2 linked regions of the Schizosaccharomyces pombe genome follow. The protein of the gene in region 1 purifies or fractionates together with the protein of each later gene. This does not show direct contact. Each region holds a gene or a part of one and is shown on either strand. Other genes may lie near its edges.

Region 1 (10,301 bases):
ATTTTATTGTTACGTATAGTGAGTGTGTAAGATGCTCATCAATACGCCAAAGATATGTTTGAGACATGTCGCATGCCGACTAGGCTTTTTTTTGTTGTCTTATACTCATTTTCTCTATAACCAGGAATTTATACACAAGTTTTCAAATAACCATAACTAAAGTGTGCTGCTGATAAGAGTAGAAAGAGATATAAGCTTGGATGACCAAGATATAAATTTTAGACGATTAAATCCGATAAAATGAAATAAATAAACTTAATTTTATTATGTACAGGATTGATTTTTTAATTGATTCCTTCGTCGTGATTCATATGCAAGACGCATACATATTTAACACTACGACAACCAAAAATTACCATTATTCAAAGTCCAAAATTTTGGTATGTATAATTTAAACAAAAAGAAGAAGAAGGAGCAAAAATGTCTAAGCAAAATTAGTACCAGTAGTACAATAAAGATACAGAATGATTCAAAATGATTAATCTATAATGGTATTAAGAGCAGGGCACACAGATTTATAGAAAAATTAAGGAAAAGCATACAAGCTTAAACGCTTTCATGTTCACTACTAGGAGGATCCGATTCACCACCAGTAGATGTGACATGTGTATCGACTTTTTCCAAAGATGCAGGTGCTTTTTCAGGTGGGAAGGTAGGGTTAAGGACACCTGTATTTGGTTTTGGTGGAGGATGGGCATCTTCGTCTTTGCCAGGATAGCAAAGATCATTGACGAGAAACGCACGGACCATTAAATACATTAGGAGGATCCACTGAATACAAAGAATGACCCCAATGATATGTCCAAACATTTGGAAAGCTTTGGAATCTATCATTTTACCTATCTCAATGGTACAATTAACAAAACCCACGTTGGGGAAAATGAATGCAAACCATCCACAAGCAAACTTGAGAGGGGCTCGAGTGAAAAAGCCCGCTAAAAAGCTAACCATGGCGAGACAGTAACACCAAGCAGCAAGACCCCAAATAAAAATAGCCATAAAGGTAGAAACAAAACCAAGATACTCGGATGAGTTGGCGCCAACAAAAATATAAGGGCGACTGCCCATAGCACCACGCGCAATATTAATTAAGGCCAAACCTGAGAAAGCTGGTGGACCGACAAACATAAACATACCAGGTCGATCTTGGGGTTTTGCCAGGCCTACAGTAAAAAACCGTAAGACATTGACGGCAAACAGTAAAAGATAAACCCAAAAACCAAGTCCTTGAAAGAGGATACCAAAGATAACCATATTTTTTAATTGATGAGCGGGTTGTGTAGAATTGACGGCGCCAGCAATGACACCACAAATCATAGGAGGGAAAATAGGAAGAATCCAAGCAGGAGATGCGGTTTCAATGGTATATACATGGTTGTTGAAAATTGTAAAAAAAGCCATTACGCAGTATATAAAGGATACTGCAACGTAAATGTAATAAAGGATTCGAATGACCCACACCATCCACTCGCCGGTATCAGGATAGGCGTATATGGCAAGCATGTCGATGAACGTGGATATTGAAAGAAGACAAGTAGCAATGAAAAGCTTTTCCAAATGATGGTTCCAGGAATCCTTGATAGTTGAAGGATATTTAATAAAGCGAAAAAGCATGCATGATCCAAAGAGAGAAAACAAAAAGATTTGAAGAATATAAACAATTTTGCCAATTGTATTAAGACCATAAAATCGAAAGGGGAAAGAACCAATAATCAAACCAACACCACCAGTTGCCATAGTACATGCAAACCAAGACCATGTAAAATGCTTCAGTCGTTGACTGAGAGGGACATGAGGGGCTTTGACATTCCAGTCAAGCAACTCATGATACCTCTGTTTCAAGATTTCCTTGAGTTCACCCATGTCGAATCGAGAGATAAAGGGGAATTAAAAAAAAAAATAGTGGCCAAGAGAGAAAATGAAGAATGAATATAATATAATATAATATAAGGAGAAAAAGGAACAAAAAGGAAAAGACGGAGGAAGGAAAGAGACAACCAATTGCTAGCAATTTATCTGTGAGTCTAATCGCACATGTTAGTTATCGTGATGAAAATAAAAAATGATAGAGAGTGTAAAAAATGAATGACTGGCTGTTGCTAGTCTTAGTAAATGAGGCAAACTGCCGATACAGAAGTAGGATGAGAAATCAAACAAAAAGTCTAGTGCAGCAACAAATAAGCTTATTTTGTGTAGCAAACAAGTAAAAGAAAACAAAAATAGAACAAACAAATAGTGATCAACTTAGAAATCAACAAGAAAAGATGCATACAAATCCAAATTTCCAAGATTTTCGAGGGGCAACTTTCTACCAACAGATTGCAACGTTGATCCTCATCGCAAACAAACTGGCACTACACAACAAAAAGCCAAACTATACAGTCATCCTACAAAACAAAAACTTACCGATGGACCTGGCCAACCCAACAACTTCAGCAATGAATGACTGACTGGATAAGTCAAATTCGAGCCACTATATTTATATCTCTTGGAAGCTTAACGAATTTAACCAACCTGCTGTCAAATGCACAAACCTTCGCTAACCTTGTGAGAGTGGAGATAGCAAAATTTTTTCTTTTATGCCGAGGAGATGCTAATTATGCTGCTATGAAGTCGGTCAAGAGTAAATCTGGTCCTTATATGACGCAAGCTAGATCTAGATTAATGCTATAGGCATACGAAACTTTGGTATTAAAAAAAAAAAAAAAAAAAAAAAAAAAAAAAAAAACTAACTCAGTATAACAATATTGACAATAATAATATACCGAACCTGTGGTGTTTTTCCAGACTTGGCATCATAATAATTGGCCTAATTTTTCTGCAGGTCAAAGGTGCTTTTGGGAAGGGAAGTTCCATTTTCTCTCAATAGGCCACGAACTCGGTCTTTCAATTCCCTGCATTTTTGTATCCGCTATCGCTAATGTGGGTCCAGTAACAAGGGAGTGTGATTTTAGAGTCAGTTAGATGGAAAAGCTATCATTTACTGCCTAAAAGCAGTTCGAAATCTCGGATCTACGAACTAAGAAGCCGAACGGCTCATTCGCGTTATCAACGGGTATCTATGTATATAGACGGATCGTTACCCGTGATTATCAATAAACGGATCTTAGCTAGTATTCCAACATATGACATATAGTGATACGCAACGTAGTGTATCATAGCGTAGAGTAGTATTGCTGACAACTAAAGTATTTTGCGAGCGTGCGGTACAACTCTGTAATCATAAGAAATCAACTCGCAATATTAGTCTCAATTGTACACTCTCCAACAACCCACATATCGAAATGGAACAGAAACCGGAAGTTGATTACTCAGAGAAGTTTGCAGAGTTACAAAAAAGTTTAAATAACCTTAATACCATAGACATCGTACGTAAAAATCAAAATTTTGACTAATCTCTAACTTGTAATTGTAGGATGCGAACCTCGAGAAGCTTTTGATTTTTGAGAAGCAAGTTCGTCAGGCTTCTGACACCAGCACGAATACGAAAGTATTAATATACATTGCTGATTTGCTCTTTCGAGCTGGTGATTTCCAAGGCTTAAACGAACAGTTGGTTAGTCTCTTTAAAAAGCATGGCCAACTGAAACAATCGATGACAAGTTTAGTCCAACATGTAATGACCTATCTTCCTGGAATTGACGATTTAAAAACAAAAATTAATTTGATTGAAACATTGCGTACTATTACTGATGGAAAGATATATGTGGAAGTAGAAAGGGCACGTCTTACACAACTGCTTTCCCAGATTAAAGAAGAGCAAGGTGACATCAAATCTGCCCAGGAGATCTTGTGTAATGAACCAGTAGAGACTTACGGATCTTTTGATTTGAAGGAAAAAGTTGCATTCATTTTGGATCAAGTTAGATTATTCTTACTGAGGTCTGATTACTACATGGCATCTACTTACACGAAGAAAATAAATGTTAAGTTTTTTGAAAAGGAAGACGTCCAGTCTTTAAAACTTAAGTATTATGAGCAAAAAATCCGAATTGGTTTGCACGACGATGCATATCTTGATGTTTGTAAATATTATCGAGCAGTTTATGACACCGCCGTGGTTCAAGAGGACCCCGAGAAATGGAAAGAAATATTAGAAAATGTCGTTTGCTTTGCCTTGCTTACTCCTTATGATAACGAGCAGGCAGATCTTCTTCACCGAATTAATGCTGACCATAAACTAAATTCTCTTCCTTTACTCCAACAATTGGTTAAGTGCTTTATTGTCAATGAACTAATGAGATGGCCCAAAATTGCCGAAATCTATGGAAGTGCTTTAAGGAGTAATCCTGTTTTTGCTGAAAATGACGAAAAAGGTGAGAAACGTTGGTCTGAACTTCGTAAGCGAGTCATCGAACACAATATTCGTGTAGTCGCAAACTATTATTCCCGCATTCATTGCAGTCGTCTAGGAGTGTTGTTGGATATGAGTCCTTCCGAAACAGAACAATTTCTTTGCGACCTTATTGCAAAGCATCATTTCTATGCCAAGATTGATCGCCCAGCTCAAGTCATTTCATTCAAGAAATCTCAAAATGTGCAAGAGCAATTGAATGAGTGGGGTTCCAATATTACTGAACTTCTTGGAAAATTGGAAAAGGTAAGACAGCTTATTATAAAAGAAGAAATGATGAATTCTATTCAACAGGCGGTAGCCAAATAAATTGTTCCGTCTCTATTTCATTTCGTTACTTTCATGACTTTGTCATTTAAATAATATACTATTGGTTCAAAGGCCTTCAACTTTTTTTACGAGAATACAATAGTTTTAATGTCGAATTGCAACCTCGGAGAAAGTTATTCTAGTAAGTTTGTAGTGATTTTCGTTGTTATTTGTCTCGTAACTAGAAGGTTAACTTGATGAATTATTTTAAATAAATTATTGTAGTTCACTCAATATGTAGTCCCTTAATTTTTATTTCAGTTGAGTTTAGTTAAAAGATTGCCATTGGTATCATATCTGGCCTCAAAAAAAGTATAGCTTAGAAGAATATCGTCAATATCCTTCATATTTGGATCATCAGCAAATTCTGGATCTATAAAGAAAAACACAGGCAAGTCTACTTTTTCATGAGCATCTAGCTTTTGCTCTTCAAAGCAAAAGCATGCAACCTTTGAGAAGTAAACAGCGGCTTGACCTGGTACTATATTATAAGTTGCAACTCCTACTATGTCATGGTCGGACGTATTTTCAGCAGTATAAAACCCTAGAGCAGTCTCGCCTGGAAGAACATATATTTCACGCTGCTGGGGCCAAAGCTTCCAGCTAAGGTTTCCTGCAACGTCGCCATTGAAAGTAACTCTGATTCTTTTATTGTCTTTACGAGGAACCATTCTTTCTGCATTCATACGACTTTGGTCGGTATTAAGAGTGCCACCATAACCTGTTTTCGAACAGAAAAGACGATATAAAGGTACAGCCGCATATGTCAAGCCCAACGCAAAAATGGAAATTGCAACCAGATAATAGATAGTGGTCCTTTGATTATAGTGGAATTTATCTCTCGAATATTGTCGTGAAATATTCCTGGTACCAGAGATGCAATTGTAACAGCTAAATGAAGTAAAAATACAAGGGAAACGATGTGAATTAAAGTCTGCAAATCGAGAAAAAGCTTTATGACGATTAGTCGAATAGAATCGTTTTCCGACAAAAATAGGATCTGCAGTTGTATTTCTTTCAACTTTGGGTTTATTATATGAGGGGGGATTGATTGAATAGGTAGAAGAAGCATCTTTTAAATGTTTAGTAATTTTACTACTTGGAGAAGTACTTTGAACTTTGCCCTCTAACGGAAACAAGTCGCCCCAAGCACTTTTCCTAGCTAATCGATAAGCTAGTTTACCTTGTGATTTAGGAACAATATTCCTTCTAAGCCGAGCATCGCTATCACAGACATCAATTATGACATGTCCATCTCGCTTCAGTGGAGGTCGAATTATACGTGGCCAGTTTTTAAGAGTTGGAGATGTAACATTCACATTTTCTAGTAAATCCTCATCATTCTTGAACCTTTGTGTGGTATTATTAAGCGGTCTAGTTATACCCTTTTGAATAACAACATAACTGTAATGAGAGCGATCCGAGGATCGACGATGAGAACGAGGGACATATAGACGGGAAAATGGGGATAGGAAAAAATGTTGTTTGAAAGAACAAATATTTGCTCTTACCCCATTTTCTATATCAATGGGGCAGCGACCATCGTGGGGACAGGGTGCTACAATATGGGCATTGAATTGTTTATCAGAAGTATTTTTACTTTTTTGCAATAGAAATGTTCTAGCTCTTTGAATCAAACTAAAGCCACGCTTTGTGCCTCGCTCGCAGAGCACCAAAAGACCACCATCATTTGACACGAGACTCCAAAGCGAACGAAGATAATCAAAGAGTTCTTTCTCCGATTTCATTTCAAGAAGCTTGTTAGATGCAATAACTAGAGTGTATGAATCCTTTTTACCCAATGGTAGACGGTTAAGCGTAACAGGGCTAGTTGGATTCGGCGAAGTTGACGGGTAAATGTTATGGTGAATATCATATATGATTTTTTTCAAAAATGGGTTCTCCTCAACAATTGAAACTGAATTAGGTGTGGGAAAGACTGAATAACTAGCTAGAGCACCAATACCTGGACCTTTACCGCAATCCAGTATATGTTGAGACTTGCAAGACACATCACTGTTTACAATTTTCAAGTCAGTCAATACGCTGTATAGAGAAGCATATTGATACGGCATAGACTGATGAATATAAGCTAAAACTTGGGGATCTGTCATAGTCCGAGTAGATTCATCTTTGAATGGCGCAGACAATGGAAGCTGAGATTCCGTAGCCAAATCTTTTTTAATATCATTAATAAATTTTTTAATTTGTCCTTTTTCGCTCTTTTTCAATAAATCGTCCACATATAGATTAAATTTTGTATGCAAACTAATATCACCACTTTTCTTTTGATCCTTTACCAAAAAGTCGAGTAAACTGGAAGCTTCTGGACGATGTGAAGAGATCAATTCGTTTTTATAATCAGAAAAGTTGTTTTGAACAGCTTGAAAATTTGCATTATACCACCTAATGGTAGTGGTTGTTCCATATGGTATGAGACATCGCTGATTTTGAAAAGTAAAGCAATTCCGTAAATTATAAAGAAACAGAATTTTATATCTGCATGTTAGAATGGGCATATGTGCTGCTCAAAACACCAATTCACCAATGAACAATGGGATTTGGGGATAAAGCACTGATCTGTATATTGTGTAGAGTAAGTGCCTGATTAAGTGGCCGCAGATGGTGTTACTTGCGTTGACAGAAGAATGAATAGTACAATTTCCTACATATCTATATGTTTTATGTTTATTAAATTAGTTCAAGGATAGGCAATTCTGTCTGAGTGAATATTCTCCCAGTTTTAGCTTCTTATACACTTCAAAAAAATGCAAAACTTTGAACTTCTTTGAAAATAAGAACAAGTAATAAATTTTATGATAGTAAAGGAATTATCAAGAAATAGCTAAAATTAGTTTTAGCATTACACTTGATCAAGATAGACTCTTCACATTGATAGTTCTACAGATACCTCTTTAACCTTACCATTCTATTATACTAGGGTAATCTTCGATTTACGAAACATTCCTTGTTAACTAACTACAAACGAAAAGTTGCCGGAAAAAAACAGCCTACATTCCTTGAGTATTTTCATGAAAATTCGGTAATTCTTTTCCATTTGGTTTATATGAGAAGTTTGCAATTGTACAATAATAATTCAAAATGCCCTCGAAAAGAAAAAGAAATCCTTTACAATATCAGACTTCAGGATCATTAGATGAGGAAACAAATCAACGCAGCGCTTTTCCACAAATCGACAACAATAGTGCTTCAGAATCTTTGGAATATGATATACCACTTGATGGTTTAGATTATTTAGCAACTGTGAGGTACGAACATTTATATATGAATTTTTGTGAAAATCGAAATTTGCAACATGAATGCTTTAATCTAATCATTGTAACAATAATTGGGCTTTTTACTGACAAGTTCAGAGAAGAAGCTCGCAAGCTAGTTCCATTTGTAGCGGCGCGTCGTGAGCCTGAAACAAGAGAAACCATTCCTCTTCGCAAATTGGAAATCGAGGCCGGCAAAAAAAGCTTTGACCCGTTTTTACGATACTTACTAAACATAATTGATAAAGAAGGGGAAAGGCTTGAGCAATATATGGAATCTTCTTCATTGGACGCATCTATTTTACCTAAAAATTTACAACAATGGCGTGTATATATTGAGCATAAAGCTCCTTGTTGGGCCATATTAGCAGTGGTTGATTTGGCAACTGTTTTGGAGATCCTAGAAAGCTTGTCCAGCTGGCTTGAAAAGGACGCAATTGATTTACAGGTTGGTAACAAGGATCTCATGCTACTTTGCTGGTGTATTTTTGTTCATTCTAAAATTTGCTAACATTTTTCTAGAGTCAATGGATTTTTTGCTTTTGTTATAAACTTCCTGAGCTTTTGAATGGAGAAGATATATCGACCCTACGTTCAGTACTCAAGTCTTTACGAAGTACGCATACTTCTTTTCCTGCTCTGCAGATGTCAGCATCTGCCCTTCAAGCAGTCTTAGTTTATCGATATGGACAAAAAGATCTCTTTCAAACATAGAGTCTATAAATCTTGGTCGAAAAAAATTTAGGTACACATGTTCATATAGCATACGTTTGTTTATAGGGAAAAAATTAAAATTGATAGCTTGTTTTAAATATGTTTTTAGGATATTATTACTTTTTTGAATGAAAACATATGCTACACGGATATGCTGGGCTTTGCATCTTTGAACATGTGATTAAGCAAGCTTGGAGATAGCTGCAATAAACAATTTGCCTATTACAAATCGATAGATATATTTTAAAAAAACACGTTTGAATTGAGATAGGCAAAGTTATTTGTTTATTGATTCACATTTTCATTTTACAAAAAATGGCTTACTATTTGTTTAGTACGTGCATTCGTTTTGCTGTCTGCATACTTGTCGAATCGAGGGTTTCAATTATGTTATTACATGATAACTAGCAACTTTCTTTAATTCGCGCCCCATCTTACGAAATTAACTAATAAATTTTTACTGTCTTTTTCGACCGAGTGATTTTTTACCCATATGAGGTTTTTCAAATTCAAAACTAATTGAACATTGCAATTATTCTTTGGGAAAAAACAAAAGTCAAATAAAGATAAAATAAAAAAGAAATAATTACAACCTCACTGCCAAGAACCCCTTCGTGGTTAATTGAATCTTTTGAGTTCGAGCAATCAAGCTCCTTTTGTAAAACTAAATGTCACTAAAATTGCTCACACTTCAGTATAGCAGTCTAAATGGAGAGCTCAATTTTTTCCTTGCTGATAAGCGGACTCTGATCTCGCTACGTGAATACTTTCTTTCCTTCGACTAAACGTCAACTTGTCGAGACTTTGATGAAATAGTGGCAGTTAAAGCCAGAAAGCTACTGAATGTTAATTCATTTCTTCTATAGTTGCCATGTACTAAGAATCACGCCTAAAGCAATTTTCCCTAATAAATTCCGATGCTAAACATCCCTTAAATTACAAAGTTTTGTCAAACGATGGAGCAATCGTCGCTTAAAAAGCGCAATTTCAAAGGCATGCATTTCAACTTGCTTTGACCATGCTCTCCCAAATTTTGAACGAATATTTATTTATTAAAAAATTTACGCTACTTGAGCTATTCAGAACAATCAATAATACATATCTAATACATTTCTCTTGCTTTTCAACTATATAACGAGGCTTTCCTTCTCGTTATTAAACTTATCGCAAACTACGATAGGAAAATAAGATTATTTGAGAATTATTTTTCACTATACGATATAGCACACATTACGCCGTTTGGATATTGAATGTGTTTACGCTTAAAAAAGTTTATCCTTTGCAACTAACATTGTAATTGTGGTAAACGGGTTTGTTTGAAGTGACGGACAATGGGAAGAGTTGCCAGAAAAAGAAAGCATCATAGCAATGGAAATCATGCTTTGTTTAGAACTCGTGTTTATGGGAGGTATGCAAATTTCATGGTCATTCAATCATCGTTTGGTAAATTAACAATTGGACAAATAGAGACTTAGATCAGATTCACAATGACTTAACAGAGTCTGAGAAATTTGATAAATTACCTATAGATCCGGATTTGCCAGGTTTAGGTCAACATTATTGCATTGAATGTGCACGGTACTTTGACTCGTCTCAAGCATTGCTGGTGCATAAGAAGGGAAAGGTTCACAAACGAAGGTTAAAAAATT
Region 2 (18,022 bases), on another chromosome or scaffold:
GGCCTATTTGCTTAATCTCGCAACAATTTTTTACAATGTCTTCCTGTAAGTACTTTAATACACACAATTTTCATAATTTTTTATTTATTATAAACGTAAATAGTTCATCAAGTGGCCGGATTGGAAATTTGACATAGGATAAGTGATAATTTAGTTGTTTAACAACGTAAATAAACATTAGAAAATTCGGAATACACTGAGTTTGTAGTTTGTACTCAGTATTATGCTTCAGTACTAAAAAAAAATTCAACTACAAAACCCACCGAATTGTAAGCTAGGCAAATTTGAGGGAATCAGACCTTTTTCATATACTCCACAAAAAAAAAGAACCAAAATGTTAGGAGTAATCATTATAAGTTAATATTCGTAGTTCATAAGTATTGCACGTTTATCAAGAGCAATCAATTCATAAAGGATGTGCGAAAAAAAAGGAAAACATTTAGACATTGACACGAGTGGAGGACCATTGTTTCGTGTTTAGATCTCTATTGTGCAAAACGCGCTTTCCTGGAGGAGGGGTAAGATTCAAAAACTCGACTTCGTTAGCCTCACAAACAACAAGAGAAAATCTACCCCAAGCAGTCTTCCAAGCTTCAATAACCCCGGGATCTTCTTTTCCAGTGAGGGTAGAAGGTAAAGGTGACACCTTCACATCGCCTTGGTATTTGGAGTATGAAGGAGGAGTAGAAAAGGAAGCGCGAAGTTCAGGACTATGTAACTCCCAAATACGTCTTCTTTCCTCTTCCCAAGACCATTCTTCGGGAATGCGGCCATTGCTGTTTATTAAATGATCCTGGATCAACTTGTCTGCGGGAAATTCATTTCGGTCGGCAAGTTCTGGTGTGTATAACCAAATTTGACCGGAAATACGAATTTGCTGCATTGTCTTTGGTAACCATCCACACATTTCAAATGCGTTCGGTATGGGTCCAGAGGGGAATGTATTTTTTTGCTGCTCAGCAATCTCAGCAGCTTTGTGAGAAGCAATATCCGTAGAGAATACCAATAAATCTGTAGCTAGCACATCATCGGGACGTGGTTTATGCCATCCTGTACCGACAAATCCTCGAATAGCTACAGTACGATTTCTGGGGTAAATTTCATTACCAGTGGGTAAAGTTGCCAGCTGGAAGTATTCGGGATGAATAACTCCACTGGAGTCGACATTTTCTTTTAAAAGCTTCAATAACTCATTTTTCCAAGCGAGGGACATGTTGGCAAACGATGAAATGGGATGCACGTATGAATCCTATATAAGTCACTTGTTTGACTGAAACGTCATTGACTTTGCTAAGTGTGTCGTACTAAAGGTCGCTCGCTATACAGAAATGATCTCTAGATATCTGTATAAGGCACAACTCTAAAGTTCGGCTAAACTTACTAACGAAATCGTGTGTGATTTCTGAAAAAGCAAATTGTACGTTATCGTGGATTACACTAATTTTTTAAAATATTCCTCTCTTCATCTGCTCAAGAGAATTGGTAAATAGTAAGAGTAAAATCATTTAATATTAGTGCACAGAGAAAGGAAAATAAGAAAATAAAGACAATAACTAGTAACTTAAAACAAAAAAATAAAACTTTTAACTAACAAAAATGGTTTCCCCTTCTAGATCTTCAAAGAACATTGCAATCCATATTCCGTTGTTCAGTACCTTAATCTGATTATTCACAGAACAATGAGCTGCCATCTAGTTTGCAAATTGATATAGAAAAGAGTATGCATTGTCTGTGTACAGGTTTCCAACATTGAAAAAGTGAGAAATGACAGCTTGCATATCCTAACAGATTTCTCTCACACCATTAGTGAGGATGCCTAGTCAATCAAAACCTGTACTTGATTTCAGCAAACTTCGTCCTCTTATCTTTAATTAACATAAGATTAGTCATCTAAAATTTCAACTTTGATACCGAAAAAAGCGGCCAACACCTTCTCGCATACCGGGGTTGAACATCGGAATGCCGAAATGCGATATCAATGAATACATTGTAACATCAGAGGATAAAAACAATGATAAAAATAATTTACAAATTAAATTGTCTCTGTCAGGCGTATCACTTGGATTATGACCATTTGCTTCACATTGCCTAGCAAACTAAGAAGGCAAGCGAGGTTTATGCCTAGTTTTTGCACATCTGTAGCTTCCGCATATTCAATTCATCCCGCATCATTCTAGAAAAACAAGGCGACGAAAAGCTGCACAACGGGTATGAAAATCCTAATAACGCTTCGCCTCCAAAGGAACGTCTATGAATCCGCAGGATCCTACTTGCCGCGCTAATTAACGAGGTATACTTGATTTCGCTGTTTCACACAAATCAATATTTCAATGTTCTCTTGTCTTTGCGGAATCGAACAAACTATACTTCGATTAACAAAAAAAAGAAGTTCGTTAATTTCATTTCATCGCAAACGTGTTTTCTTAGTTTTTATTCTCAAAAACGAACAATCTACAACGAAGAATTGTTTTCGATCTTTAACCCACAACAACAAAAACATTTAGTAAGTGACGCTAAAAGTCAGTTCGATCACACTTGAAAGTACACATATTAAACGCTGAATGAATCAAATCATAAATAATTATTGTATGTAATGACCATTTTAAGGTGTTTTCATTAATCCTTTAAATAATCTCTCTAAAGCGAGATAATGACAAAAGCAATCATAATTACAAAAAGCAAGAACAATATACTTAAAATTTTTGCAAGGTTTGTCAATCAATATTTGAAGTCCACCATAATTCACAACTCAGTAATGTACAAGGACGTGAAGGTTATCACCAAAATCATAAAAAATCCATCAACATCTCAAGTTGAATAATAAAAAAGGTAAACAAAGGAGAATCAGGTACATGTAATGATTAACATTAGGTTAAAGAAAATTTGAAAACACAGTTTAAAAACTTAGGAAAAACATAAAAAAACAACAACAAAGCAAATCAAACTCGAAAAAAAAAAAAATCTGTCGCCAATCGTGGGGATAAATGAGTGTTGAAGAGTAATTTGAATTAACCAAATTCAGCATCTTAAACGACCGGTTGTAAACATATTATCTAAGGTTTAAAGTCCTTCAACATTAGGGGATTGGGCTTGTGATAAACAATCACAATAGACAATTTCGTAAATAAACTAGATAAATAAAGGTATAAATACATGCCACGACCGTAAGAACGTAACAAACAAGAATTTTTTTTTTCGAGAAAGCAGCTTATTAAATACATAAAGTTTGATATCGAGAGCTTCAAAAATGTTCCGTAAAAAAAAACCGCAGGAAAACCCTGCCTGTTGCATATCTCAATATCAAAAAGGTAGACGAGGTAAAGCAAAAAATAGACTGTTTTTGATAGTTTTGGATAGGGGATACTCAACTAAATTGAGGACTTGTATTACTTCACTCTATTTGCTTTGATAGAGGGAAGCACTTCAAAGTACGGGAAAAGTGTGGGCGTCATAATAAATATAACTATTCAAACCGTAAAAGCTGGAAATTCATCACTAACTTCAAGTTATCGTAAATTTGGGAAAACTAGAAGACTTTGATAGACAACTGGTATAAATGTCATAAAAAGGGGGAAAGAAAGGCTAGGTACTTTGACATGTTGAGACTTTTATGTAGAAGAATTTTTTTCATAAAAGTCAAGTAAGTAAGCTCGAGCATCCTTATAAAAGTCGTTCACAACCGACAGAGATTTGCTAATCAAATCCAATGCAATTTCCTCGCTCGGTAATTTCATTACACCATCACGACTGCGTAGAGATCCGTAATTTTGGATACGTTCACAAACCTTTCTCATTTTTGTAAGGCCCAATACAGCTGAAGATCCTTTAAGGAAATGCCCCAACGAGGAAAGCTTCTTCAAATCCTTAGCCTCTAGGGCCTTTTGGAGGTCGGCAATGGTAGTCTCTGCCTGCTCAAAATAATTCCAAACAATACTCTTACTAAATTCATGCTCATCATCATCATCCATCTCAAGCAACTGGTCAAAAACGGAATGATCAATGAGCTGTTTGTCTTGGATGAGTTCATCCTCAAATGACATATCGTAAGCAATTACTGAAAGTTCATCCGACAAGACACCAGCCCCAACCAAAGCTTTGACTGAAGCAGCGGGAAGATTTTTGGCATTCGCATGGTCATCGCTAATAGAATTGGAGATGTCAACGGTCTCCTCCGTGCCTTCAGGTGCGCCAGCCGTCTCATTAGCAGCCAATTGTTGATTGTTTTCACTTTTGCTCGAAGATATACGTGACGTTAGAGCAACATAAGCAGGATTTGAGGTCAGTGGTAAAGAAGTGTCATTCGCTCCAGAACCATTCATAACCCGATAAGCATGGGGGATCGCTGACCCTGAAGGAGAGCGTGCACGTTCAGCTATGCCAGAATCGTGAAGAGTCTTAGCAAGACTAGCGTTACGCGCCTGTCCATTTCTTCGGGCGACACGATTTTCGAAGTTTCGGTCGTATTTCATATACATGTTATCACGATATACACTCATTTTTTAGAAAATAATTAAAAGAAAATCCAAAAAAAAAAGAAAAGGGTTTAAAGTAAGAGCGAATGGAGAAGCTCAGCTAAATTTTATCAGCAGTATTACTTTGCAAACAGTAAAATGTAGCAATCGATACAGAATATTGTATCAGATTTAAGACTTTCCTTTTTTAACAACGATTTGAAATTAAAGCGAGGAAATGTGAGTTATTGAAAGAGGCGTCGACAACACAAACAAATTATAAAAATAATGTGTGGTATGCCAGCAAAATGAAATAATCAACAGTTTCACTAACCTGTAGTACAGTACAAGGGCTATTACCAAAAGAAGAAAATGGCTTTACCACACAACCCACAAATACTAAATAGGATTTGTGGATAAATCTCCTTCAACAACGATTCTAATGGAAAAGAGTCAATACGGTTTTGGAGCTTTTTTTGCGTGTTCGAAACTTTGATGCCAAGTTTTAGACGCCACACAAACTTGCCTTCAGCTTCTGCTAAGTTCTAAAATTATCAAGCTCTACTAAAAAGGCGATATTATTGTTTTCGTATCAATTCAAAAGACAGAAAACCAATCCTCACAAGATTGTTAAGTGCTCTCTCTATAATTAAGTTCAAATGCAACAAGGGTAAGGCAGAGAGTAGAGACTATGGTTTTGCCTGTGCTTATGTCTGATTTTTAGATATTCTAATGTAGTAAATGGGAGACGGAAAGTAGGTAAATGCCGCGAAAGAATTGTTTGCAAAACTCACACTTGGGAGTGACGCCATGCAACGTAATAAAGCAGTCAAATGTACCGATACACAACCACCCAAAACGATAAAGTATATTAATATAATGACGCTACGTCTCACTATACCCCGAATTTCAATGATTCCTCCATATCAGTCAGTGTAGAAAAAAAAGACGAACTGGAGATGGAAGAACAGTTTCCCACCATCTTTGGCATTTTCGGCCATTTCCTAATAAGCGCAGCAATTCCTGATGGCTGTAGCATTGCACATTGGGAGGGAAGAATGATACTCTTTTTGCAGATATTTATTTCGATATCACTACATAGGGCCTATCCTAGTCATTGGAAAGGTGCCAATTTCCAGCGATATTCTCCTATTTTTAGAAATAATTAAAAGCTTTGCACAAATTTCATTCCTACCTCACTTATTTCGTACATCTCAGAAGTTTGATGAACTTGGGAAATCCCAACATATGACAAATGCAATGGGAAAGATAATTGATAGTTTTCCAACGAAAAAGTGGGATTTAATATGTATATGAGAGAGGATAGTAAAATGTGCCAAATTTTGGGTTAACTAGAGGCAATCTAAAGTATGAAGTAAGTGAACTACTAGACAAACATCTACAGAAACAAAGTATGGAAATAAATGAAGATAGACAAACGAAAAGCATACTATTTCGAAAACGAATCAATATTTAGTCAATTTTTAGATCCAAAATCCATTCATTTAAAAACAGACCATGCCATCTATTTGGAAGCAAAACTGTAGTTATTCACCTCAAAGCGAAAGTATAAGGAAAAAAAAATAAGCCGAGACAATTAGGTTACTAAATACGTCTTCTCATGGTTTCGGAGAAATGAAAAGGGAAAAAAAATTAAATGTATACAAATATATGTATATGTATATGTGTGTTTGAGTCTGTCTATATGTATGTATAATAAAATAAAAACAGAAAGAAGAACAAAAAAGATTCAGAACAAAGAATCAATCAAAAATCCATCTGTCTATATAATAAACCAAAATCTTTTCACTTCAATTTCACCACCGACTAATTCGAAGTAACGGCATTGATAGCTTCGGCAAAGTATCTTACATTGGAAGTGTTGAGACCGGAGATGCTAATACGACCATTCTTAGTGAGGTAAATGTGATACTGTTTAGCCAAAACATCAACTTGCTGGGGATTTAAACCAGTATAACAAAACATACCAATTTGGTCAGTGATATGCTTCCAGCTGTGTTTATTCTTAAGGTCCTTTTCAAGGATGTTGCGAAGAGCCTTACGCATACTCTTAAGACGTTCGGACATGCCTACAACTTCACCAGCCCACTGTTCACGAAGTGCAGGGTTGCTCAATATATGGTTGGCAATTCTGGCCCCATTGACGGGAGGGTTGGAATACAAAGCACGAATGAGAATCTTAGTTTGGCTTTCGATACGAGCGGCTTCCTCAGCATCGTTGGCTAAAATGCTAAAGCAGCCAGCACGTTCACCATATAGACCCATGTTTTTAGCAAAGGATTGGCAGAGTAACATGGGGACATTGCTGGAGGCGAACAGACGAGTGGCATAAGCATCACGAGCAAAATCACCACTGGCAAATCCTTGGTAAGCCATGTCTAAAAGAGCAAAATGGTTTTTCTTTTGCATTGTTTTGAGGATATCATCCCACTGAGCTTTCGTAGGATCTACACCAGTTGGATTGTGAGCACAAGCATGCAATAATATAATAGAGCCATCAGGAGCTGAAGTTAAATCGGACAACATGCCTTTAATGTCCAACCCACGAGTAGCAGGATCATAATACTTGTAGGACTTAACGGTCAAGCCAGCTCGAGAAAATACATTCTTGTGATTTCCCCAAGTAGGGTCAGATACGTAAATAGTCTTTGATGGATAAAATGAAGCAAGGAAATTAGCTGCTATACACAAGGCACCGGTACCACTAATGGATTGAGCAGAAACCAGCCTATCCTTTATAGACTCGTAAACATCGCCATAAGCCAATTTTGTTGCTTGCACACGGAAACTGGGAATTCCTGTGATGGGTGCATATTCTTTGTCGAGTTTCTGACTCAACAGCTCAGTTTCTGCCTGACGAACACTGGGCAGAACATAAGGCTTTCCGGCATCATCACGATATGTACCAGCACCCAAGTTCATTTTCTTAACATCTCCATCCTTTTTATAGGCCTCTGTAATACCAAAGATGGGATCCGGTGGTCCCATAGGTACATCTGCCCAAACCTTGAATCCACGCTTGCTCTGACTTGCCAAGCATTTTACTCCATGGTAGGAAACGTTGGTTTTTAACGATGCAAATGTATTTGGATGCAAACAACGCAAATTCCTGGCCAACATCGTCGAAATCAATATTCTTCCCAAAGTTATTTCTGGGAGATTGGTTAAAGGCTCTTCACAGGCTCGCAATCAATCGAATCCTGCTAATATATATACGTTCTTATCATGAGAAAACCACGTGGTTCAATGTATCTGCTTACCGATCGATAACATAATCCGAAGCTGTAAGATGTCAAAATTAGATAACGACGTTTATTGTTTCTTTCGTTATCGTTCACTTGTAGAGCTGTTCCGAAAAAACATTAAAGTAGCATAGCGAAAGCTATAGTTTTGTAATCGCAACGTAGTTTAGCAACTAGTAAACAGTAACTCGTTAATTACCAATATTTATCGTAAGTAATTAAGGTAGTTAATAAATTAACATTAACAACAATAAAAATTGTAAAATAGCTGTTAGACTTGTAGAAAATATTTTTCAATAACAAGAAGTCATTCAATAATCATAACTTGAATAAGTCAATTTAGACCTTCGAACACTGTTTAAGTCATCAGACTGTCTTTAGTAGCTGCTTCTATAGCTTTCACTGTTGTTGCTGTAAAAGGTTGCAGAAGTAAGTTATAGAACAATAATTCTATTCATATGGAGGACTTTTATTAAGAAAAAAAACGAAATGAAGCCTACAGCACCCCGGATTCCCATGTTGTCTCCAACCATAGTACTAACGAGGCCCTCAGACGCTTAACTGCAGTGATCGGACGGGAACTGGTGTTTTCGCCTAGGTATGGCCGTAGACACCTAGTAAAATACTTTATAGCTTATATAATTTTATGCTATGTAATTTTGAGAGGAATGTGTGTTGTTTGAATTGGGATAAATATTCTTTAGCAATGATTCCTAAGTAAAAGATAGATGCAAGGTTAAATCACTTTAGCAAAGTCTATGTTCTAACAAGAAACACGACGAATGCACGAAAAGAGATCCGTACTCCTTTTAATAAAAATCGATGGCAATTGTTTAACCTTTTTTAAACCATTATTACTTCTACAACACTTTATATTGAGGAAAATTTACTTAAAGTGAGGTCTCTTGAAATGGAATGGTTGATTCACGCGTTGGTAACAGTAGATACATTTTCGTGTTCGAAATGTAAACAACTCAAGAAAATTAGGATGTGTTTTTACCATACACTATTCAAAAATTACAATATCGCAATACTATGTTACGCAATATGTTAGAGTGCCTTGAGCCACCGGTTGCTTGCATAGTGTCGTGGTGGAAAACGAGTGAAGCTAGATATTACCAATACCAGATCACTTTCACTGAGAGTATCGATCCAAAAAATGGTAAGTATTTGAGTATTTTGAGGCTGAAAACAAGACTGAATTAAATGTAATTTTTTCATCTATCGCTGAATAGTCTTGTTTTCACTCTATCACATTCTTTTCATGTTTTAATATTTAATCCTAACTCTCCTATAGGGACAAGCACAATCTGGGAATTTTTCTAATTTCGGCGATGGTGCCAACGGCGACAATAAAAAAGACCAAAAGAAAGATAAGCCCAAATACGAACCTCCAGTTCCCACTCGAACTGGTCGTCGTAAGAAGAAGGCTCAAAGTGGTCCTGATGCATCGGCAAAACTACCTACTGTTATCCCAACGACTCGTTGTCGTTTAAGGTTGTTAAAAATGCAAAGAATCCACGATCATTTGCTTATGGAAGAAGAGTATGTGCAAAACCAGGAACGTCTTAAGCCACAGGATGAACGAACTCAGGAAGAACGCAATCGTGTAGATGAAATTCGTGGTACTCCAATGTCTGTAGGAACTTTAGAGGAAATTATAGACGACGATCATGCCATCGTTTCCACAGCTGGACCAGAGTACTATGTTTCCATCATGTCATTTGTCGATAAAGACATGTTAGAGCCTGGTTGCAGTGTACTTCTCCATCACAAAGCCATGAGTATAGTAGGCTTACTTCTTGATGATACCGATCCAATGATTAATGTTATGAAACTCGACAAAGCACCTACAGAAAGTTATGCCGATATTGGTGGTCTTGAATCTCAAATTCAAGAGATCAAAGAGGCTGTAGAGCTTCCTCTTACCCATCCTGAACTCTATGAGGAAATGGGCATAAAACCCCCTAAAGGTGTCATTTTATATGGTGCTCCCGGTACTGGTAAAACTTTACTAGCGAAAGCTGTTGCTAATCAAACTTCTGCTACGTTCTTGCGTGTCGTTGGTTCTGAACTTATTCAAAAATATTTAGGTGATGGTCCCCGTCTTGTGAGACAATTATTTAATGCTGCCGAAGAACATTCGCCCTCTATTGTTTTTATTGATGAAATTGATGCTATAGGTACAAAGCGTTACGATGCCCAGTCGGGTGCTGAACGAGAAATTCAACGTACTATGCTTGAGTTACTCAATCAGTTGGATGGATTCGATACGAGTCAGCGTGATATTAAGGTTATTATGGCTACTAACCGTATCAGCGATCTTGATCCGGCTCTTATTCGTCCAGGTCGTATTGACCGCAAAATTCTTTTCGAGAATCCTGATGAAGCTACGAAACGTAAAATTTTTACCATTCACACTTCCAAGATGAATTTGGGCGAGGATGTTAATTTAGAAGAGTTAATTCAATGCAAAGATGATTTATCTGGTGCAGAAATTAAAGCAATCGTTTCTGAAGCTGGTTTGCTTGCTCTGCGTGAACGCCGAATGCGAGTTGTTATGGACGACTTTCGGCAAGCTCGTGAAAAGGTTTTAAAAACGAAGGACGAAGGTGGACCTGCTGGTGGTCTTTATATCTAAGTCCAACTTTGGTTATGACTAGTTTTACTCGCATAATGGCAATACTTCTTTTTATCCATACTTGCCATTGACTAAATAATTTCCAGTTCCTGTTTAGTTTCTACGAATATCTGTATTTCCATCTTCACTATTATTATTTAATCCTGTAGAGAAGTATTGTATGCATGATTATTAAGTTATCATTAAGTTTTATAGAGTAACTATAGATGTCCATAAAATTTATTATATCATCATACGTATTTTATTAACTTCGTGCATTCCTTGTCGGTTTAAATTTTGGATTTTTTAAAAAAAAGAGCGTAAAATAAGCAAAGCAAACAAAACGTGTCCATAGAAAATACCTCTCCGATACCTCTTTTTTTTTATTTTCTTCAATCGATCGCATTCACAATTTCAGTGACACAGTTTTCTGATTATATTAAGAAATTTAATTCTAACGTGTGCAACAAAACGCCTTTATAATACACAAAAGACGTAAACTAATCAATCAAATAATTACTTTTTCACCGGTTTACACATAGTGTGATATTCAACAGGCTTTAATGCACGGACTGTATCCTTAAATATAGAAAGAGGACAGATCGTATCATTGCCTTTGTATCCTTGACCTCGACATGCACCCATCACTACAGGGGTTGAATTGTAGGTAATTCGGACATACCAATCAGACATATCTCTAGCAGAATTAGACGCAGCAACGATAGCACTATTGCTGGCATCTGTAGACTCATCGGAAAACAACTTCAAATCTGTCGTCTTATTATCGCCGCTTTGATTTTGGGAATCGGATTTGCTTGATGTATCTTCGAATAGTTCCATTTCAAGATGTGATGTAAAGGGTGGCCAGCGATAGTCAAATGCGTCCAAAGATGCTAAAATGGCAGCTATTGTAACATCATGTGCGCCATAGAGGGCCAAACGATGATAGGGTGAACCATTCTTTTCAGCGACCACGAAGTTCTCCATTCTCATGCTTAAATCATTTAACAAGCTTCCAGCACCTAATTGACGCATCAACTTAGAAACCTTATAACCGCCAAACCATTCTTCTACAACAGCAGTTTCGGCATCGCGTAACCATTGTTCATCTCTTAGGTTGGGATTGAAGTCGACATGGCTACCAATGGCAGCGTTAATAGTATCAAGCAAACCACTGAGACGAGGATGGCTTGAAACAACTCTAACAGGCTGACCATTCATGAATTGACTCATCATTTCAGAGGCACGGCCTGCAAGTAAGGGATCGTAAAGCTTAGCAGCTCGTTCTGCAAATTCTTCATATAGTTGCACAAGTCGAGGACAGTTGTTTTCATTAGGAAGTAGGTTTTCGTCTGACCAATTTCTCGTAAAAATGACAGGTAAACCCATCTTACGCTTTGACTCAGGATACAATCCGGAAAAAACATGTTCTAAAGACTCCAAGGCTCGCACCATTGGAGTCGCACGCATATAAACATCAGCGTAGTTATTCAATTCATCAGGTAAGAATTTCAATTGTTTGACATAACGTTCTCGAAGATACTCACCAAGTGTTCTGGTAGTAACACGCCCAAAATCAGTCAATTCACCATGAATGCAAACACCACTTGGGGAATTGTCTGAAGTTGGTGCTGCAAGAGACGTGTCAACTGGTGACTCAACCTTCCTTTCAAAACCCAACACAGACCATTCCTTTTCCCCTTTAATTTGCGCAAAAAACCTCCTTGCATTATTACAAAGCTTCCAATCCTTAGGGATACCGGCGGAACCAAGTCTTTCCTTCACGGGAGCACGTTCACCATGTCGAAATATGACTTGTAAATATTTCAGTTGCAGCTGTTTTGGATAATCGACTCCGGGAACTGAATCCGGGAATTTAACAGAAGCTGAAGACATTTGAGACATGGCGGCTAGGAAGTGGTTGATGATGCTGGATAAGAGCTGCTGTCAACTAAGGTCTCAATGCTTGAACATCATCGCAAAGCTCATATAAAATATGAATTACTGAATATTAACGAAACGACACTATTTGAAAATTAGTTTTGTTTATGAAAAGAAAACAATAAAATATAAAGTTAATTCAATCTTAAAAAACTGTTAGGAAAAAATTAAAATGAAAGTCATTATGAGATATAACAAAAAAAAAATACCCAGACAGGGTTTCTCTTTAGCTTTCTCAATCAAAAATAAAAGATAAAAGACGCAACCACCAAAACTATAGATAGGTTTAAAAATTTTAATGAGTGCAGTTAAAATAGGAGAGACAAGAAAGCTAGAAGTTCAATATATTAATTATTGTTCAAATATACATACAAATTTGTCATCATCATTAAAATCATGTATACCAACAAGCCCCAGTAAGCCTCTCAAATTAACCATCTCTGTTAAGAAAATCAATTAAACCATTTTTGATAGAGAAATGATTACGTTTAACCATAAGCACATAGAAAATATCTCTGGTTTCACCAGTATAAACAGCGTTTCACAAAAAGCATCACCAGATTAAGTATAACCTACATGTTTTGACGTTAAATTATACGCCAAAAAAGAAGGGAATTCAAAAAAGTTATTAACGCTACCGTAAATTTTTACTGATTCGAGATCGCTCCAAGAAAAAATTTGATATATCTTCCTTGGTGACAACCCTATTTTCACGAGCAAATGGAGTGAGGAAGTCCGTTAGCTCAGATTTTAAGCGATTATACGCATAAACGCTTTCGTTAGCTTGTACACGAGGAAGTCTGTCCAAAATACGAAGGACATCATTCATTGTGCTAGATATGACTTGCTCAATCATTTCTCCAGATTCACTGGGATCCTCATTCATCTCACTGATTCCATCCTCAGAATCCTCAGGAGGTTCGTAAATAGGTTCTTCTGCCACCAACATTGGCATCTCCAAATTACGCAAACTGATGCAAGATTCACAAGGGCACAAATTTTCCCTAAAGTTTTCTGAAAGAAATAGAGGCGCTCGTTCTGTACCAGCTATGCTTTCATGCTTCTGGTTTAAAAGATGATCGCGGTATTTTTCTGAACATTCTGAACACACCAACCATTCAAAAGTCTCAGCATCTGGGATTGCAATTCCTTTATTAGTTTTCTGCAGACACTTTTCGTGAAACCAATCTTCGCAAAGGATGCATTGAAACATAGTTCCTTCCTCTGTCTCTGGATTATACACCGTATCACATATGCAAAATCGCCCTTCGAAATTATGATTATAATCATTTTCTGAGCCACATTCATCAACGGATTTCCGTAAATTACAAGGTATGGAGTGGGTTCTTGTGGTGCCACAATCACATCGAAAATGTCGTTTATTGAATAGGTCCACAAGATCATGGTCAGCATGGCAGCTAATACTGCAGCTATAGCAAACAGCATTTAAGCTTCCGCTAGCTTTTTGACATGTCAAACAAGCGTATAAAGGTTGCTTCAAATAGCCCATCGAATAAGTGCACGTGTCAAAGCTGTAAGGCAAAACTTCTCGTGCCTCCCTTTCAAGCTCCCTTTGCTGTTCAACATATTGCTTAACCGTTAATTCATGAGCCGTTTCCTCCATAAGTTATTAAATGCAACTAAACGTTGGCAAATAGACGGCGTAAACAATTGCGAAGAATGTCTTTTGAATAATTCAAAACACTAACTCATTACGCTCCTCTATTTCATTTACAGGTATCACTACATTTTCCAATACAATTTAACAATATACTGTAGCATTTCTTATTCTTTCATCCTGCAATACTCTAGCTATTCAATGCATTAAAATAGTTAGAAACAACATCTTTAAAGTATTTGAGTCCAAAGATGGATTCTTTTCGGAAAAGGGGTCGCCGCGATTCTGAAAGTTTACCTTTTGAATCAGAAAATTCTTCTCTCGGTGCTACACCTCTTTCTTTACCTCCTTCTTCACCTCCTCCAGAATTCTCTGATGAAGCTGCAGAAGCTCTCGTGGAGGAGGATATTGAGGATCTGGACGGAGAAGCTTTAGATGTAGAGGATGAAGAAGGTGAAGATTTGTTCGGAGAAGGAATGGAACGGTAAGTTTTATAGCTATGCTTGAGACGTGTCTTGTCAATGTTGTGTATACTAAGTGTTGCCATCAATATATAAATTACATACTATTTCTTCTCCTTCTTGTAAATAAATATATTTATTGGATTCCTAGGTTGCGGTTATATTGACAGAACAAATCTTGATTTTCAAAAGAGTAGTTTCACATTTCGCGTCAAATAAGGTACTTTTTTCTAACTGTATAGTGATTATCAACAAAATTTGGAGCTAGATCGTTATGACATTGAAGAACTAGATGACGATAACGATCTTGAAGAATTAGATATCGGGGCCCGAAGAGCTGTTGATGCCAGGTTGAGACGACGTGATATTGAGCTCGATGCTGCTGCAGGTAGAACAAAACCTGCTGCATTTTTACAAGATGAAGATGATGATTTGGACTCCAATCTTGGCACAGGCTTCACTCGTCATCGACATCGAATTTACGACGAATATTCACCTAATGTTGGCGCATTGGACGAATCTGGTGAACTTCCTCTTGAATCAATTGCCGACGTAAAGGCCGATAGTATTGCCGAATGGGTTACTCTTGATCCTGTTCGGCGTACAATTGCTCGAGAATTCAAAAATTTCCTTCTTGAATATACAGATGAAAATGGCACCTCTGTATACGGTAACCGTATTCGCACATTGGGTGAGGTTAATGCTGAGTCGTTGATGGTTAATTATGCCCATCTTGGTGAATCTAAACCCATTTTGGCTTATTTCTTGGCCAATGCGCCTGCACCTATTTTTCGCATATTTGATCGTGTTGCTTTGGAAGCCACTCTTTTGCATTATCCAGACTATGAAAGAATACACTCTGATATTCATGTTCGTATCACTAATCTTCCTACTTGTTTTACTTTACGCGATCTACGACAATCCCATCTTAATTGCCTTGTACGGGTATCTGGTGTCGTAACTAGGCGCACTGGGCTTTTTCCACAATTAAAATACATTCGGTTTACATGTACCAAATGTGGTGCTACTTTGGGTCCATTTTTTCAAGACTCTAGCGTTGAAGTAAAAATTTCTTTCTGTCACAACTGTTCCAGCCGTGGTCCGTTTGTAATCAACTCTGAACGGACTGTATATAATAACTATCAAAGGATCACTTTACAAGAATCACCTGGCACCGTCCCCTCAGGTAGACTGCCTCGACACCGTGAAGTTATTCTTTTAGCGGACTTGGTTGATGTTGCCAAACCAGGCGAAGAGATTGATGTTACTGGCATATACCGCAATAACTTCGATGCTAGTCTGAATACCAAAAACGGGTTTCCTGTCTTCGCTACAATTATAGAAGCAAATCACATATCGCAACTTGACGGCAGTGGTAATACTGATGATGATTTCTCTTTAAGTCGGCTTACTGATGATGAGGAAAGGGAAATTCGGGCATTAGCAAAGTCGCCTGATATTCACAACAGAATTATTGCATCGATGGCGCCTTCTATTTATGGACATCGCTCTATCAAAACTGCTATTGCTGCTGCTTTATTCGGTGGTGTCCCCAAAAATATTAACGGTAAGCATAAAATTAGAGGTGATATCAATGTTTTATTGTTGGGAGATCCAGGAACCGCCAAATCTCAATTTCTTAAGTATGTTGAAAAAACGGCACATAGGGCTGTCTTCGCCACAGGTCAGGGTGCCAGTGCTGTTGGTCTAACTGCATCCGTCCGTAAAGACCCCATTACGAATGAATGGACTTTGGAAGGGGGTGCTTTGGTTTTAGCAGATAAAGGTGTTTGTTTGATTGACGAGTTCGATAAAATGAATGATCAGGATCGTACTTCTATTCACGAAGCCATGGAACAACAAAGTATTTCTATTTCTAAGGCGGGTATTGTGACTACCTTGCAGGCGAGGTGCACTATTATTGCTGCCGCTAATCCCATCGGTGGACGTTATAACACTACAATTCCTTTTAATCAAAATGTTGAGCTGACCGAACCTATTTTATCTCGTTTTGACATCCTTCAGGTCGTCAAAGACACGGTTAATCCTGAAATTGATGAACAGCTAGCTAATTTTGTTGTATCAAGTCATATTCGATCTCATCCTGCATTTGATCCGAATATGGATGTCTTGAAGAAAGTCCCTACTGAGACTGGTATTGATGCCAAACCCATTCCCCAAGATCTTCTTCGTAAATATATCCATTTCGCTCGTGAAAAAGTTTTTCCTCGATTACAGCAAATGGATGAAGAAAAGATTTCGAGACTTTATAGCGATATGAGACGCGAGTCACTGGCTACTGGAAGTTATCCTATTACTGTGCGTCATCTGGAGTCTGCTATCCGTTTAAGTGAAGCATTTGCAAAAATGCAGCTCAGTGAGTTTGTGCGCCCTTCACATATAGACAAAGCCATTCAAGTGATTATTGATTCCTTTGTGAATGCCCAAAAAATGAGTGTTAAACGAAGTTTGTCAAGAACATTTGCTAAATATCTTATTTAATTTTTTGACACAATCAGTTTATGGAGTCCAGTGATTTTGATTTCCCCGTTCTTTGACCCTCCTTTTGTTACTGCATCTGTTGCATATATCTATCCTTTAATAATTTGCAATCAAAATTTGCTTTACATTTTTATACCTATCTTTACATTCATTCTTTCTTAGTTTTCAAAATGTCAATCTAAATTATTTAGGTTAATAACACTTGTTTTGAATATCATTATTGACTATTCGCTATAGATACTAGGTGTATAGATACTTTCTCCGCTGTATCAATATTATTAGCTGTTTCATTAAAGAGCCACTGCCCATGTGAAATGACATTTTTTGAAACAGCTGAGGTTTTTTACATATAGAGCTAAATTGTCCATTTCCAAATTTAAAGGGAAGTCAACTTTTGACAATCGGAAATGCATCCAGTTCATATCTGATGTTCCTGAAGAATCTCAAATTTCACACTTTATTATCTAAAATTATTTATATCGTGTTACTCTTTCAAATCAGTCTTTTTATTTGGTATATATTTTGCCCTACCCTTACCTACTTATATTCGTACATCCACCAAGTAAACTTGACACAAAAACAAAATGGCCTATCCCGGGCAGTTTGGAAATTACGGTAATCCTGAGACTTATAGGCAAAATGTTGCTGGCAATATTGCTTCATATGGGGGCCCTGAAATTGACACTCAGTTAGCTGCTCAAATGAACGCACAAATGTATATACAGCAAGGTAGTGCAATGGCTCCACAACCCCGACGCGCTAGAAGACATAAAGATGCCCATGCATATGATATGTCATTGACAGATGCTGAACCAGCTTTGGCTCCTGTCATGTCGCCTGCTATCCCGCCTTCCATGAATTATCCTACGCCAAGTACACCCTCAGTACTTCCAGAATCTTTTTCTAATGATACAAATCTCCTCGATCCTGCAGCATTACCTTCGGCTCCTGAAGTTCGCTATGAAGATCAGCAATTGTTTAAAAACCAAATATTCAATACCATGGAAAAGGGTTCTCCACCTATGTCCACTACAGATTTTGTTGGGTATGAACAAGGAAATTCATCTTCCAAATTCGTTCAGTTTACCAGTTACGCGATTCCAGCTACCAATGATGTTTGCAATGCTTCCGGAATCCCCTTGGGAATGATTGTTCAACCGTTCGCA

What was found.
Region 2: the proteins of rpn502 (region 1) and rpt2 purify together in Schizosaccharomyces pombe (affinity purification with western blotting, with the first as the bait; one study listed by BioGRID). This does not show direct contact.

What each region holds. Positions count from the first base shown.
Region 1 is NC_003424.3:4,903,859-4,914,159, reverse strand, and holds rpn502 (19S proteasome regulatory subunit Rpn502), read left to right. Parts: upstream 1-3,284; coding exon 3,285-3,368; intron 3,369-3,415; coding exon 3,416-4,663; 3' UTR 4,664-4,793; downstream 4,794-10,301. Other genes in the region: plasma membrane malate/succinate:proton symporter Mae1, read right to left, coding at 547-1,863; rsm22-cox11 tandem protein cox1102, read right to left, coding at 4,921-7,182; yip11 (SMN complex subunit Yip11/Gem2), read left to right, coding at 7,766-7,932, 8,038-8,386, 8,461-8,652; bud20 (zinc finger ribosome biogenesis protein), read left to right, coding at 9,984-10,060, 10,120-10,301. UniProt on the Schizosaccharomyces pombe protein: Acts as a regulatory subunit of the 26S proteasome which is involved in the ATP-dependent degradation of ubiquitinated proteins. Required for proper proteasome assembly.
Region 2 is NC_003423.3:1,190,231-1,208,252, reverse strand, and holds rpt2 (19S proteasome base subcomplex ATPase subunit Rpt2), read left to right. Parts: upstream 1-8,824; 5' UTR 8,825-8,873; coding exon 8,874-8,876; exon of another isoform or gene 8,877-8,877; intron 8,878-9,011; coding exon 9,012-10,355; 3' UTR 10,356-10,475; downstream 10,476-18,022. Other genes in the region: SPOM_SPBC725.03 (pyridoxamine 5'-phosphate oxidase), read right to left, coding at 440-1,213; histidine-containing response regulator phosphotransferase Mpr1, read right to left, coding at 3,609-4,496; aspartate aminotransferase Maa1, read right to left, coding at 6,279-7,592; SPOM_SPBC4.06 (acid phosphatase), read right to left, coding at 10,851-12,239; ubiquitin protein ligase E3 component mlo2, read right to left, coding at 12,910-13,899; MCM complex subunit Mcm2, read left to right, coding at 14,145-14,377, 14,597-16,856; COPII-coated vesicle-associated protein Sfb3, read left to right, coding at 17,441-18,022. UniProt on the Schizosaccharomyces pombe protein: The 26S proteasome is involved in the ATP-dependent degradation of ubiquitinated proteins. The regulatory (or ATPase) complex confers ATP dependency and substrate specificity to the 26S complex.